Notamacropus eugenii: one gene and its partner. The protein of the gene in region 2 interacts with the protein of the main gene of each other region in a biochemical or structural test. Links are inferred from orthologs where the notes say so. Each region holds a gene or a part of one and is shown on either strand. Other genes may lie near its edges.

The links. The genes of interacting proteins can lie anywhere in the genome.
Region 1: the proteins of DCN (region 2) and TGFB1 form a complex in vitro, tested with the Homo sapiens proteins (3 studies listed by BioGRID). The link is inferred for Notamacropus eugenii from reciprocal best matches to the Homo sapiens genes DCN and TGFB1.

What each region holds. Positions count from the first base shown.
Region 1 is NC_092876.1:29,868,121-29,875,039, reverse strand, and holds the start of TGFB1 (transforming growth factor beta-1 proprotein), read right to left. Parts: upstream 3,014-6,919; 5' UTR 2,287-3,013; coding exon 1,941-2,286; intron 693-1,940; coding exon 544-692; intron 447-543; coding exon 329-446; intron 1-328. Other genes in the region: B9D2 (B9 domain-containing protein 2), read right to left, coding at 4,427-4,740, 5,165-5,290, 5,893-5,980. UniProt on the Homo sapiens protein: Transforming growth factor beta-1 proprotein: Precursor of the Latency-associated peptide (LAP) and Transforming growth factor beta-1 (TGF-beta-1) chains, which constitute the regulatory and active subunit of TGF-beta-1, respectively.
Region 2 is NC_092874.1:273,543,475-273,551,067, forward strand, and holds the start of DCN (decorin), read right to left. Parts: upstream 3,024-7,593; 5' UTR 2,960-3,023; intron 1,014-2,959; exon of another isoform or gene 609-1,013; intron 1-608. UniProt on the Homo sapiens protein: May affect the rate of fibrils formation.

The DNA of each region.
Region 1 (6,919 bases), on a different chromosome or scaffold from region 2:
CAGGGGGTAGGCAGGCACACAGGGAAGGTGAAGGGATAGGTCTAGGGTCCCAGGAGACACCACCTAGAGAGAGCTCGAGTTCCTAACCTGAGGCAACCAAGTTCCTGACTGGGTAAAAAAAGACTGTCATGGGGGTACAGGGAATATCTGTAACTGTTCTATTGAATTGAATTAATCCCTATTTTATTTATATGTGTGCATGCATGATAATCTCTGAACCTGATTTCCTTTCATAGATGGGAATATTCACTGAAAGGGGAGGGCTCAGGAAGCCCCCCTCTTCTTTCTCCCCAGAGTGTCCACCTCCCTCTGCCTTTCCCAACCTCACCTTTGCTACTCAACCACTGGTATACCACACTGGTAACATCAAAGGACAGCCACTCCACGGTCTGGCTGGGCCGGACCCGCTGGCTGGTCAGGTAGCGCCAGGAACCATTGCCAAATTTCTTCGGGGAGGATGAAGGGCAGTGAGGGAACAGCCCTGGAGGTGGCCTCCCCCACAGACCCTGCCAGCCCCCACAAGCCCCATCAGCCTGGGCTCACCTGATAGAGTTCCACATGCTGTTCTTCTGTTGACTTGATCTTCAGCATCCGGAGCTCTGCTCGAGACAGCAGAGCTGGATCAGGTACAGCTTCCTGGAGCTCCGAGGTGTTGAAATGGAAGTAAACACTGTGAGGGATCTTATCAGCATCTGGGGGGGCAGACAGGGAGAGAGCAATCAGAAGAAGCCATGCCACAGTCTTAGCCAAAGGCATCTCTGGCCCTGGCCTGCCTGCCTCATCAGAGAAGTGGAAGGGAAGCCTAAGGAAAGATGGTGGAGCCAAGGGGCCCATACACACCCGGAGCTTGAAAAGATGTCCTTCCCTCCCTTTCTGCTTCCTGATATGATGCCCTCTCCAGCCCCCCACCCCCACCCCCAGGTCCTCCAAACAACTCTGTGGCTGAGCCAATTCAGAAACCACAGAGCCAGTCTCTGGGTGGCCTGAGCCCCAGGGAGACCAAGGGACCAGAATGTAGAAGGAGAGAGTCAGGGAGAAGCCCAATAGGAACATAGATTTAGAGGTAGATGATGGGACATTAGGGGCTCTTGAGTTCTACATTCATTTCACAATCGAGGAAAGTGAGGAGGTCTAGAGAATTAAGTGACTTGCCCAATGTAACCGGGGTAGGTAGAAAGTGGAAAAACCTAGGCCTTCTCTGACTCCAGATGCAGGGTTACTCTGCTTGGGGAGGGGGTGAAGGGGAGAGAAGGAACAAGATAGAAAGGGGGAGGGAAAATACAGAGGAACAAGGACGCAGGAGAAGAGAGAAAAGGCCAGACAGTTTAGGAGCTGGAGAGGACTATTCGGCCTTGCCACCGGTAATGAGTGGAAGAAATGGGATTTGAACTCAGGTCTTCCCACTCCAAACTCAGGACTTTTTCTGAAGAGGCAGCAGGAGAACAGAGCTGGAGGGGCCACGATTCAGAGAAGGGGACTCGGAGCAGGGAGAAAAAGTCAAGCAGAGACCCTCGCTGCCCTTCAGCAAAAGTCCCCAGGCCCGAGAGAAAGCGGGAAGCCTTGCCCAGGGCCAGGGGTCGAGGTCGGCCGGGAGCCCCGGGTCCGGTCCCCGGTGGGGGCCAGCACCGGAGAGGGCGGGGCCCAAAGCGGGCGAGCCGGGCTGCGACCTGTCTCTGCTCGCCCTCCTACCCCGAGGCTCCAGCTGCCGATTCCCTGCCCCGGGGCCACTGGCGAGAGGGAGGGAGGGCCAGGGGCTGGACTCCGGGGTTTCCCGGCCGGCAGAGGGACGCCCCGCCCACGGCGTGTGGCCGCCCTCGTGGGTCTGGCCGGGGCTCCCCCGTTTGCCCGACTGTTCGCCTCTTGCTACCCGAGTGTCCCTCCTCTCCTGCGAGCAGCCCTCCCCCGGGCCCACCGGTGCCCGCTTGCCCCCGAGGGCTCACCCGGATTCTGGGGCAGCATGAGGACCCGGGTGACCTCCTTGGCGTAGTAGTCGGTCTCGGCCTCGGGCCCCGGCTCGGCCACGCGGTCCCGGGTGCTGTTGTAGAGGGCGAGCACGGCGTCGGGCAGCGGGCCCGGGGGCACGTCGCCCTGGGGCGGCGGGCTGTCCAGCCGCAACTTGGACAGGATCTGCCCGCGGATGGCCTCGATGCGCCGCCGCTTCACCAGCTCCATGTCCAAGGTCTTGCAGGTGGACATGGCCACCGCCGGGCGCGGCGGGACCAGCAGGAGAGCCAGCAGCGGCACCAGGGCAGCCGCCGCCGCCGCCCGCAGCCCCGAGGGCGGCATGGAGGAAGAGGCACACGCTGCGGCGACGCTGGCCTCTGGGCCGGCGGCGGGGAAAAGGAAATCGCCCGGGAGGGCTCGGGATCCGCGAGGGGAAAGCCTGGGGCCCTTCGGGGAGGTCTGCCGGGAGGGGAGGGGGCCTGAGACTGACGGGGAGATGTGACCCCTGCAGCGTGCGGGGGGGAACTTGCAAGGACAGCACGCCGGGGGGCGGAAAAGTCCGGAGTCTCGGGGGGCTCTCCTTGACTCGGGGAGGGGGGCGGGCTGCCGGGTGCGAGGGGCGGCTAGGTCCGGAGGGTCCAGGGCGCGGTGGCCCTGGCTCCCGGGGGCAGGCAGGGCGCGCTCCGGCTCGGCCGGTGAGAAAGTCTCAACTTCTGGGCAACAAGTCCCGTCCCTCCTCCTCCTCCTTCTCCTCCCCCCTCCCCCCTCCTCCCGGCGGCGGCGGCGGCGGCGGCTCCTGCGGCTGCTCTGGAGACAGCGGCTCCTGGGCCCCCGGCTCCTCCTCGTCCTTCCTCCTTCCTCCCGCTGGGGCCGGCGACCCGGGCCCCGCTAGAGCCGGGGGGGTCCCGGCCGGCCCCAGGGGCCCCGCATGGGCCGGGGCGGGGCTGGGTTGCGAGGCAGTGGCGGCGGTTCAGGCCGAGACGGGACGGGGGGCGCCCCCTGGGATCGCAGCTTCGGCTCGGGGGCGGCGGAGGGCAGGGGCAGGGGGCGGGCGGCAGCTCCGGCGGGGCAGCCGGGTTCGGGCTTCGGAGCTTTTTGAAGCGGCTGCGGCCCCACCCAGGAAGCGCGCGCGGGGGCCGGGGAGGAAAGGCGGGGGGAAGGAGGGGAAGGAGGGAGGGAAGCGCGGCTTCCCCCCCCCCCCAGCCGCCCGGAGGCCGGGGGATGGCGCCCCGCCTCCGGGACCCCGGCGTCCTCACTCCCCCCACGCCAGCAATGGGGGACGGGATGGGAATAGCGGGCTGGGCTAGGGGCTCACCCCCACCCCGTCGCCCGGGCGTCCGCCCAGGCCCTGGCCGCAAAGGGGAGAGGCCGCCAAGCGCCGGGAGAACGCACCCGGGACTCTCCCAGCCCTGGTCTTCCCTGGGTCGGAGTGAGGAAGTCCCCCAATGAGCGGCGGGTGCTGCTCCTTACTGGTCCCGGCCCCATCCAGACCCTGGGACGGGTTCAGCCTCCGATCCGCGGCCACTTATAGGAAGGGGTCAGGAGGAGGAGATGGGGGAGGGGTGGGAGGACCAGACTGAGAGACAGGACAGATAAGGGATTGGGGGTCCTGGGGTGTCATCCCCTGCGGCCACTGGACGGAGTATCCTCGGAGGGCAGGGAGCAAGTCCCATTTCAGCACGAGGTCCCAGCCTAAGGGTCAGAGCTTCACTGAGGACGGCACTGCAGAAAAACTGGAGAAAACACCGCGGCAGGAGGGGGGGACAGAAAATGGAGGAGAAAATAGCCGGGATTATTGGGGTGCTGGGGGCGCTGAAAAGACAGCCTGGCCTCTGGGGGGAATGACCCAAGGAGGGGAGGAAAGGGGAAAGAGCAGAAGGGGAGGGTCACAAGGGGAACATCATCCACCCGGCCCAGAAGGAGTCCAGGAAGTGGGTCTAAGAAGGCCCTGCAATGGCTGGACCCCGGGCTCCAGGTCCCTGGAAGTAGGCGCTTTTCACTTTAGGGACCTAGGTGTCCCCATTTTCCAAAGAGTGGAATGAACTAGATGGCATCCAGGGTCTCTAAGACTCCCTTGAACTCGGACATTTTGGGGCTCAGTCACTCAACCAGGGCATCCCTGGGCTCAGTTTCCCCCTCTGGTGAAACAAGGGGTTGGACTCAGGTCTGACAGTAAGGAAGGGATAGAAATGAGATGTTTGTACTCTGTCGGAATCTTGTATAGACCAATTCATATATTTCTTTACATGAAATCGCCCCCATTGACATGGATGCCCCAGGACAGAGCCATGTTGCTCCTTCTTGGTACCCCAAGGCTTTCTTAGGGCAGTACCTGGCACATAATAAAAGTTCAGTAAGAGTTGGTTGATTGATTGCTGAGGCCAGGAGCCCGGGGACAGACAGAAAAGAGGAGGGGAGGGAAGGAAGTGAGATGGAGAATTGGGGGATGGAGGGATAAGGGCTTGGGAGCTGGCCGAGGTGCTCAGCACTCAACCCCATATCGGGAAAAGTTTCTCAGGATCAGGGCCAGCTCCAGGTGCACGGTGCCCCCTGCTGCTGTGTGGAGCCGGTATCGGTCGGCCCCGCTGTAGACTACATCACTGTGTAGCAGCTGGGGCCCACCACCCACGAAGGCCCGAGCCAACTGCTCCCGCCAGCCACCCAAGGGGCGCCATGTCACACAGTCAAGGCTATGGATGCCGGGGCTGCTGGGAATGTGGGAAAAGCCATAGCCGGACAACTGGCAGCGGCCAAAGACGTCCTGAGACCACACTTGCAAGTGGAGCCGAGGCCAGCCTGGGGAGAGGAGAGGGTCTACCTCAGTCTTCTGCTGGCCAAGTCTGCCCTTCTTCCCAAGGCTTGGGTTTCTGTCTTCCTTCCCTGATTTTGTTCAGGCTCCTGTAGCCACTCCCAGTCCCCCAAAGGCATTCTGCCATCTTAAGCTGCTCCCGCCAACCACTGATGCCCATATTCTGACCAGGAGCACCCACAAATGACAGATCTGTCAGGTCTAATAAACAACACAGACCATCTCTGAGTCTCTTTTGTCTTTCTCTTCAACCTTCCCAGTCTCTGGGGGTCCAGGTGGGATTCCCCAACCCCAGGGTCCAGCCTGAAGGACTACTAGGTGCCCTGAACTGGACAGAGCCTCATCTCCCTGTCCAATTGGAGCAGTCCCTTCCCAGCTCACTTACTCAGAGCCTGGGACCCCTGCCCTTACCCTGTAGGCCTTTGGTGGCAAAATGCAGGTCAATTGGGTGAGACCAGTAGGCCATGCTACCCAGCTGAGGGGTGTCCACTTGTGTCTGGCCTTCCCGAACACCGGACAGCAGTTTCCATGCTCCTCCTGCCAGTCAGGAAAGGAAAGGGTCACTGAGGGGAGGGAGGGAGGGACTAGAAGAAGGGATTCTGTTGGGTTAGAGGGAGGGGCCGCTATGGCACTGGAAAGAGCCCTGGGCTCAAGTCCTGGTCCCATCAGTGACCTAATTAGACTTTGGCTTCTTCTACTGTAAAAAGAGCTTCCTGGCTGAAATCTCTAGGTCCCTTTCTGCCTCTATAATTCCAAATCTAGTCTAGCCAAAAAGAAGGGCAGTAAGTTCCATGTAGGACGAAAACCTTCCTCATATCCCCACACTCCCACCCCCCACTAAAGACTCTCACAGTCCCCAAGGAAAGAAGGAAAGGAGGGGGGTCTAGGCCTCTTTGGAGTTGAAGGATCTCCCACCCACCCATTAAGTGGGCAAAGACTCTGCTGTGGAGATACAATTTGGGGTACAGGTCCTGAAGAATCAGGAGGAAGACCTCAGGACTTTCCCCTTCTGTTCCACACTCTCTCCAGCTGAGTGCACAAGGAAGGTCAAGGGTCAAGTTCCCCGGGGGTGGGGGGAAGGTATAGAGGACTCCCCAGAGATGTGAACAGATGAGGCCATGCTATCCCCACATACTTACCAGTATGGACACCCCACTTGCAGAAGAGGCTGTTCTCAGAAAAACCTGTTGCCCCAATGATCTGCCCAATGACATGGACCTCAGCCATGGCCCAGTGGAGAGGAGAGATGTCAGAAGACTACAAAGAATGAAGTTCAGCAGCGACCAAACTGCTGCCTGACCTTGGACATGTCTCTGGGCCTCAGTTTCCTCATCTGTAAAATGAGCACATCATGATTTCAATTGAGTGGATAGAACAGTGCACCCAAAGTCTTGAAGATCTGGGTTCAAATCCAGCCTCAGACACTTAGTAGCTGAGTGACCCTGGACAAGTCACAACCTCTGCCTCAGTTTCCTCAACTTCAAAATGGGGATAATAATAGCACAGACTTTCCATGGTTGTTCTGAGGTTCAATTAGATAATATCTGTAAAGCAAGCGCTTTGCAAAACTTAAAACGATATATACGTACGTATACATGTAGGCATATGCGCTATTAGCTACAGACTCGGTAACTCCGCCCATCTCCATAGCTCCTCCCCTTAGGGCTTATAACTCCGCCCCCTCCTTCCAAATAGACATGCGCAGTATCCCCGGAGCGAGGCAAAACGCTCATGACTCCAGCCTCTGCGCAGGCGCTGTTTCTCTGGCAAGCACAACTGTACAGGAACACGTACTCGCGTCTCTCGGCGCCCGACCCTCGCCTCCCCTACCCCTCATTTACCCGAGAAACCTGAAGATTTCGGGACCGTCAGCAGGGTGAACGGCTTCCGGGGCCTGCTCCGGCCGTTGCTCTGGCAACAGAAGCTCGCGGTCTTCTCTGCGCACCATTCGTGCACGCCTTCGCGTCGCTGATTGGTCGTCGGAGAGGAAATGGGACCAGTAGGTATCTCTCGCCTTCCCCTCGCACGCCGCTGATTGGGCCTCAGATAGAATGGGGCGGGGCGATAATGAAAGAGCTCCCTTTCCCTTTGTGTGTGCCCGCCCAGCACACTGCTGATTGGTCCTTTCGGAAGGCGATTCCTTCCAAGATCCCTTGCGCCCACCCC
Region 2 (7,593 bases):
CTAGATTCATTTCCTTTAAAAGAGAGAGAGAGATTTTTAACTGAAGGCTTGGCTTTGTTTCCCCCCTCAACTTTTCTTTCTATCCTGGTTTATAAGTAACATTTATCAGCCTGAAAGGAGGATTTTTCCTCCCTTATTCACAATACCTGGAAGCCTAGCAAATAATCCAGTATTTATCTTGTACTTATTCTAAATGTGTTCTGCATCAAATATGTGAGAAATCTTTAGTTAAGAAAAAATTACTCAATCTTCTCTTGCTTCACTCTGCAATTTTTTTTTGTTTATTTTTTTAAACAGAAACTCAAGTACTACATCTTAAATGCTATGGGAGCATTTTTATATACTTAGAATGGTTACCTAAAGGATCCTGGAAGGAAGCCAGAATTTTATATGAAAAGCCTGTCACTTATTATTTTCATTACTCAAATGATTCTGACATTTATGACCAGAAATGTTTTGTATAAACTAACGCAGCCTTAAAAGTGCATCCCCCTTCTTCCCCCTAACCCTTGCCTCCCAAATGTAAAAAGCACAATAGATATAACGTCATCGTTGTTCCAAAAAAAAAGTGATCTAACTGTGAACACCAAGATTGTGAGAGAACATACCTAATCTAGAAGTTGATCATATGTCACTCTGTGGTTGGGGAGGTGGGTTTGAAGAGAATGTAGTTATTATTTTCTTAAATGAATCCAGAATTTTGTTAGCTATGGATATCCAGGAGCTTTCCAAACATCAGAAAAGGGAGAAAAGAATCCAAATCTCCAAGAAGATGTTTACTTAGCCCCTGAAAAGCACTGAGAACATTAATAACAACTCCCTGGTTCCAAATGCTTTGAGATTTCTCTTCAAAGTTTGAAAAGTTCGTGTCTCTGTGTTTTGACTTGCTTCTTTCTGCCTGCCCCTAGGCTGTGACCAGGTGCAAACCTGAAGAAAATTTCTTTGAAACATGAGCAGATGCACCCCTCTTTTATTTTATGACATTCTCCACCACCATCATGAAAGAAACAGAGACAGAGATGAAGACAGAGACAGGGAGACAGAGAAAGACAGAGGGGAGGTGCTGTAATCTTCTGCTAGAACATAGTAGAAATAAACTCAGGTGGGGAGGGATGGGGTTCTAAACTTTTGTATTTCTATTCTCTCTTTTCAAGTTTCTGGCTAAATCCCACACTGTCACCCAGAAGAAAGTAACACAGCTCCCCCTCCCCTCCTCCTTTTCAAATTGTTTTCTATACCCTTTTGTATATTTGACTTGGTGTTGTTAGGTATGTAACTGTATTTCCTGTGACCAACATATTCACCATCTATTAGGGCCTAGAAAGGGATGGGCTTTCATTGGCCTGAGACAGAACTGAAAACTGAGTGAAAGTTTTAGCACCTCAACTTCAGAGTTTTCTAGTCCCATCCCTGCATTCCCACATTCACTTCTTTGGTAATGTGTAACTTCAAGCTTTCTCACTAACAAAAACTGTTTTCAAGAAAGAAAATAAAATTAATGACAGAATATGATAGATCTGTGAAAGAACTTAGAAACCTACACTAAACCAACACCATCATAAAAAGGAGGAAACTGAAGACCTTGGAGGCTAAGTAGTTCAACCAAGGCCATACAAACCAAAGATAATGGAACAAGAATCCTAACATTTTGCAGTTTGATTCCAACTGGGAGGGGAGGGGTGGGGTGGAACAAGCAGAAGGTTTTGTCACTTAGCAAGAAGAAACATTTGGTATTCATTTGATGTTTATGTGACTTGCAGAGAATATGAGTAAGGCCCCCAAGCACTTTGGGTGGACCCCCTATAGTGGATCTACAAGGAGATATGGACAGTGATAACAGGATGGTCACTTTTAAATAAGAATTGCGGAAGGAATGCCCAATACTAGGAGAGCATGAAATAATTGGTGTGCTGGAAAGTATTTCTATAAATAAAATAGCACTATAAAATGATAATTATAATAATTGCATTAGGCACTGTACTAAGTGTTGTGGATATAAAGATAGACACCCCCCCCTAAAAAAAAAACAACAACTCACCAACAAGTTGCCTACCTTCAAGGAGCTTAAAAATCTAACATGCAAACAAATATAAGCAAAGCAAATTCTATGTAGAATAAGTAGTAGGTAATTAACTGAGAGAAAACACTGGAATAAAGAGGCATTGAGGAAGGTGGGATTTTAGTCGAGCCTTAAAGGAAGCTATGGAGGTGAGAAGTCCAAGAGGAGGAGGGAAAGGTTTCCAGGAAGGAGTCAGACAGAGCTAATATGTTAAGGTTTGCAAAGCACTTTACAAAGGCTGTAGACATTTGAAGACCAGAGGCGAACTTATTGATGCTCCTGAAATTAAGCAAGTCATTTGTGGCTGGATATTTGCCATCTACGCTATGGACAAAGCTAATTCTGGAGAGTCATATATTGTATAATTTAGAGGATTGCAGTAAGAGGCATGTGCAGATCCATGTCCCCTCTTCAATTTCTTTTCTTAGATAGTTCCCTGGAACACCAAGAGATTACGTGTCTTGTCCAGAATCATAAAAGCAATGTGTGTTAAAGATGAAGATTGATCCCAGGTCTTCCTGGTTTCAGGGTCAAGAAAAACTAAAGACCTGAAATTATTTACTTATTCATCTATTTGTTTACTTATTTCTTCATCTCTCTATCTATATTTGTCTATGTCTCTATTTCTATCTGTGCCTGTCTCTATCATCTACTTCTCTATCTATTCATCTGTCTTTATATCTACCTCTATCTATTTATCAATCTATTATCTATCCATACATTTCTATCTCTCTGCCTTTCTATCTATTCATCATTCTATCAATCTGTCTATTCACCTATTTCATTGCTTCTCTCTCTCTCTCTCTCTCTCTCTCTCTCTCTCTCTTCTCTCTCTCTCTCTCTCTCTCTCTCTCTCTCTCTCCCTCCCTCTTCCCCCCTCCCATCTCTATTCTCTCTTACCTCTCTATCTTTCAAAAGGAGAGCTTGAGGCTGGCATATCTCTTGAGCTCAGTCATTGAGTTTGAATTTCTGTGTGAGAGAGAGAGAGAGAGAGAGAGAGAGAGAGAGAGAGAGAGAGAGAGAGAGAGAGAGAGAGAGAGAGAGATGTTAAAATGTTTTAAACTGCTTCTCATTTATATTTCTTAACTAATAAACAACCCTATATTCAAAGCCACAACTAGGCTCTTGAAACATGAATTTCTATTAGTACTGACACGTGTGTGTGTGTGTGTGTGCTAGTCTTCACCATTCGGATTTGCAAAGAACTTTTCTAAAATCTCAAAGTTGTTATAGTTATTGTTTGTTGCATTGCTTCATTTCTATTTTGTAACACTGATTTGAGAAAGTAGGGGTGTGTATTTGTGGCTGAGTGAATCTTAATCACAGTGAGATTTTAATGTGCCTGTGACTAACTTCATTCAAGTCCAATAGTTTGAACATGAGCTGGAACCCAAACCTAGATTTCCGAAAGATAAGTGTGAAAGTGAACAATTTTGAAACTCAAGGTCTTTAGGCTAATCCTATACCCAAGTCATTCAAACTCATCCTACTCTGAAATGTCAGCCTAGTCTTCCCAGAAATGTTGGCTGCCATGTAGAAATGTGAAATATTTAAATTCAAATCACATACCCCATCCACTGTTAAAAATGTCTGCACTGTAATTTCAACTGACAAGTCATCAGTTAGCAGGATAACTGGATTCTGTGTCTTGTCAGAGTTCATTTCAGGGCTGGCCATTTTCATTAGCAAAGCAATTGATTTAAGTGACAATTACTTATTAGCAGGATGAAGAATGCCAGGCTTGAAAAGGATTCTGCCATTTCCTGAGAAGCCAGGTGATTTTCTTCACACACTTCATGGGACATTCGAAGACCAGGGTTATACGTCCAGACCAGGCAAGTTCTAACAAACTACATTGTATTGCGTTGTTTCTGTTGCTATTTCCCTCACCATAAACTGGTGGTTTTTCAGGCATAGAAGTACCATGGGATGGGCATGATGAAGTTAAGGACAAACTCTAATGAATGTGAAAAAAAATGTTTGTTTGTCACAATCCCTTTGCCACCTTCTCCTCCCTTTCTAAATCTCAGTTGCATCCCAGCAAAGTAGTCAGGGTCCCATTGATATTCTCTATAAGATTTCTGCCTTCCTTGACCCTCCAAACCCACTTATCTTGCTAGGAAAAGTGAATTTTCCTTCCCTTTATTTTCTCAGTGACTTGTCCAGATAATTTGGTGATCTAATTCAACCTAAAGGCTAATGTGTTACCTTTCCCAGTGGTGTCTGTCTTTGGGCAGGGTCTACCTAGGAATAACAGTGTCTAATGATAAAGATGAGTAGATCTTTAAGGGCAGAATTTCAGATACCAGCTTTAGTGGTGTTTTAAAAAACTCTTTCTCAAAAATGTTAAGTTACATATCTCTGGTGATAGTGACACATTATATTGATCTTAGAAAGACAACTGAAAAATATGTTATAAGGTCAAGTTTTAGGATTGAGATTATTGAGAATGATAGTCTAAATTTATAGAAGCTGGATTTTGTTTTCATTTAAAATAAATCAATTTATTTTACATTCTTTTGTCCCCAAATATTTCTCCAACAAGAATGTATAAATAAAAGCAATTCTGAATTTGAATAGTTAAAAGAAACAAATCCACACATTTGCTGTGTCCAAAAATATGTATCTCATTCAGCACCTTGAAATCATCACACTTCTGTCAAGTGATGAGTCACAGGCTTTATCACTGGTATTCTGAAATCATGAATGGTCATTACATTGAGCATAGTTCTTATGTCTTTCAAAGTTGTTGTATTCTGTCCAACATTGTTGCATAAATTACTCTCCTCATTTTGTTCTGCTGTGTTCACACAATTCTTCCCAGGTTTTATTTATTTTTTTTTTAATTTATTTTTTTTTATTTTGTAATGTTTAACAATCACTGCCATACAATTGCGATTTTATCCCTCCCCACCTACTCCCCACTACCCCACTCCCTCCCCACGACTGCATACAATTCTGTATAGATTCTACATATACTTTCCTATTGAGTATATTTTCACTATAGTCATGCTATGTAGTCAGACTAAGATAAATGAAAGAAATCGTATAACAAATCAGAACATGATACACAAACACATACACATACACAAACATGATCTGCTACAATATGTGAGTGACTTCCATATTTCTCTCTCTGAGTGTGGCAGGCATTTTACCTTGAGATCCTCCATTGGGATTTTTTTTTTTTTTTTTGGTAAGAAGTTCTTGTGTTATTACAAAAATCTAAGTCTACCAGAAAAAACTCTCACACACTGTGGTTGTTGCTGTGCATAAAGTTCTCCTGGTTCTGCTCCTTTCACTCAGCATCAGGTCATATAAGTCCTTCCAGGCCTCTCTGAAGTCTTCTTGTTCATCATTTCTTATGGCACAATAGTACTCAATTACATTCATATACCATAATTTATTCAGCCATTCCCCAATTGATGGACATCCCCTTGACTTCCAGTTTTTGGCAACTACATAGAGTGCTGCTATAAATATTTTTGTATATGTGGGACCCTTTCCCATTTTTATGATCTCTTGAGGATATCGTCCTAGTAGCGATATTGCTGGGTCAAAGGGTATGCACATTTTTGTAGCCCTTTGGGCATAGTTCCAAATTGCTCTCCAGAATGGTTGGATGCGCTCACAGCTCCACCAACAATGAATTAGTGTTCCAACTCTCCCACATCCTCTCCAGCATTTATCATTTTCTTGTTCTGTCATGTTTGCCAATCTTATAGGTGTGATGTGGTACCTCAGAGTTGTTTTGATTTGCATCTCTCTAACCAATAGTGATTTAGAGCATTTTTTCATATGATTATAGATATCTTTAATTTCTTCCTCTGAAAATTGCCTGTTCATATCCTTTGACCATTTATCAATTGGGGAATGACTTGTATGATTATACATTTGGGTCAGTTCTCTATATATTCTAGAAATGAGGCCTTTATCCCCGAGCTTAGCTGTAAAAATTCTTTCCCAATTTACTACATCCCTCCGTATTTTGGTTGCATTGGGTTTGGTTGTGCAAAAACTTCTCAGTTTAATGTAATCTAAGTTATCCATTTTGCATTTCATAATGCATTCTATCTCTCCTTTAGTAAAGAATTCTTCCCTTCTCCATAGATCTGATAAATACACTATTCCTTGCTTCTCCAGTTTATTCATGGTATCAATCTTTATACCTAAATCATGTACCCATTTGGACTTTATTCTTGTGTACGGTGTCAGGTATGGGTCTATGCCTAATTTCCGCCACACTGTTATCCAGTTTTCCCAGCAATTTTTGTCAAACAATGAGTTCTTATTCCAGAAGCTGGGGTCCTTGGGTTTATCAAACAGAAGGTTGCTATATTCCTTGCCTGCTGCATCTTGAGTGCCAAGTCTATTCCACTTGTTTACCTCTCTGTTTCTTAGCCAATACCAAGTGGTTTTGATAATTGCTGCTTTATAGTACAGTTTGAGGTCTGGTAGCGCTAGGCCACCTTCCCAAGCATTTCTTTTCATTAGTCCCTTTGATATTCTGGACCTTTTGTTTTTCCAAATGAATTTTGATATTATTTTGTCCAGCTCTAGAAAGTAATTGTATGATAGTTTAATTGGTATGGCACTAAATAAGTATATTAATTTGGGTAGAATTGTCATTTTTATTATATTAGCACAGCCTACCCATGAGCAACTAATGTTTTTCCACTTACTTAAATCTGACTTTATTTGTGCAAAAAGTGTCTTGTAATTGTGTTCATATAATCCCTGGGTTTGTTTTGGCAGGTAGACTCCTAAGTATTTTATACTGTCTACCCTAACTTTAAATGGGATTTCTCTTTCTATCTCTTGCTGTTGGACTTTGTTGCTAATATATAGGAATGCAGAAGATTTGTGTGGGTTTATTTTGTACCCTGCAACTTTGCCAAAGTTGTTTATTAATTCAAGTAATTTTTTACTTGAATCTCTGGGATTCTCTAGGTAAATCATCATATCATCTGCAAAGAGTGATAACTTAGTTTCTTCTTTGGCTATTTTAATTCCTTGGATATCTTTATCTTGTCTAATTGCTACAGCTAGCATTTCTAGTACCATATTAAATAATAGTGGTGATAATGGACAACCTTGTTTCACCCCTGATCTTATTGGGAATGCATCTAGCTTATCCCCATTGCATATAATGCTTGCTGAAGGTTTTAGATAGATACTGCTTATTATTTTATGGAAAGTTCCCTTTATTCCTACATTCTCCAATGTTTTTAGTAGGAATGGATGTTGTATTTTGTCAAAAGCTTTTCCTGCATCTATTGAGATAATCATGTGGTTTTTGTTAGCTTTGTTGTTGATGTGATCGATAATGCTAATAGTTTTCCTAATATTGAACCAGCCCTGTAGTCCTGGTATGAATCCTACCTGATCATAATGTATTAATCTCGTGATAAGATGCTGTATTCATTTTGCTACAATCTTATTTAAAATTTTTGCATCTATATTCATTAGGGAAATTGGTCTATAATTTTCTTTCTCTGTTTTATCTCTTCCTGGTTTGGGTATCAAAACCATAT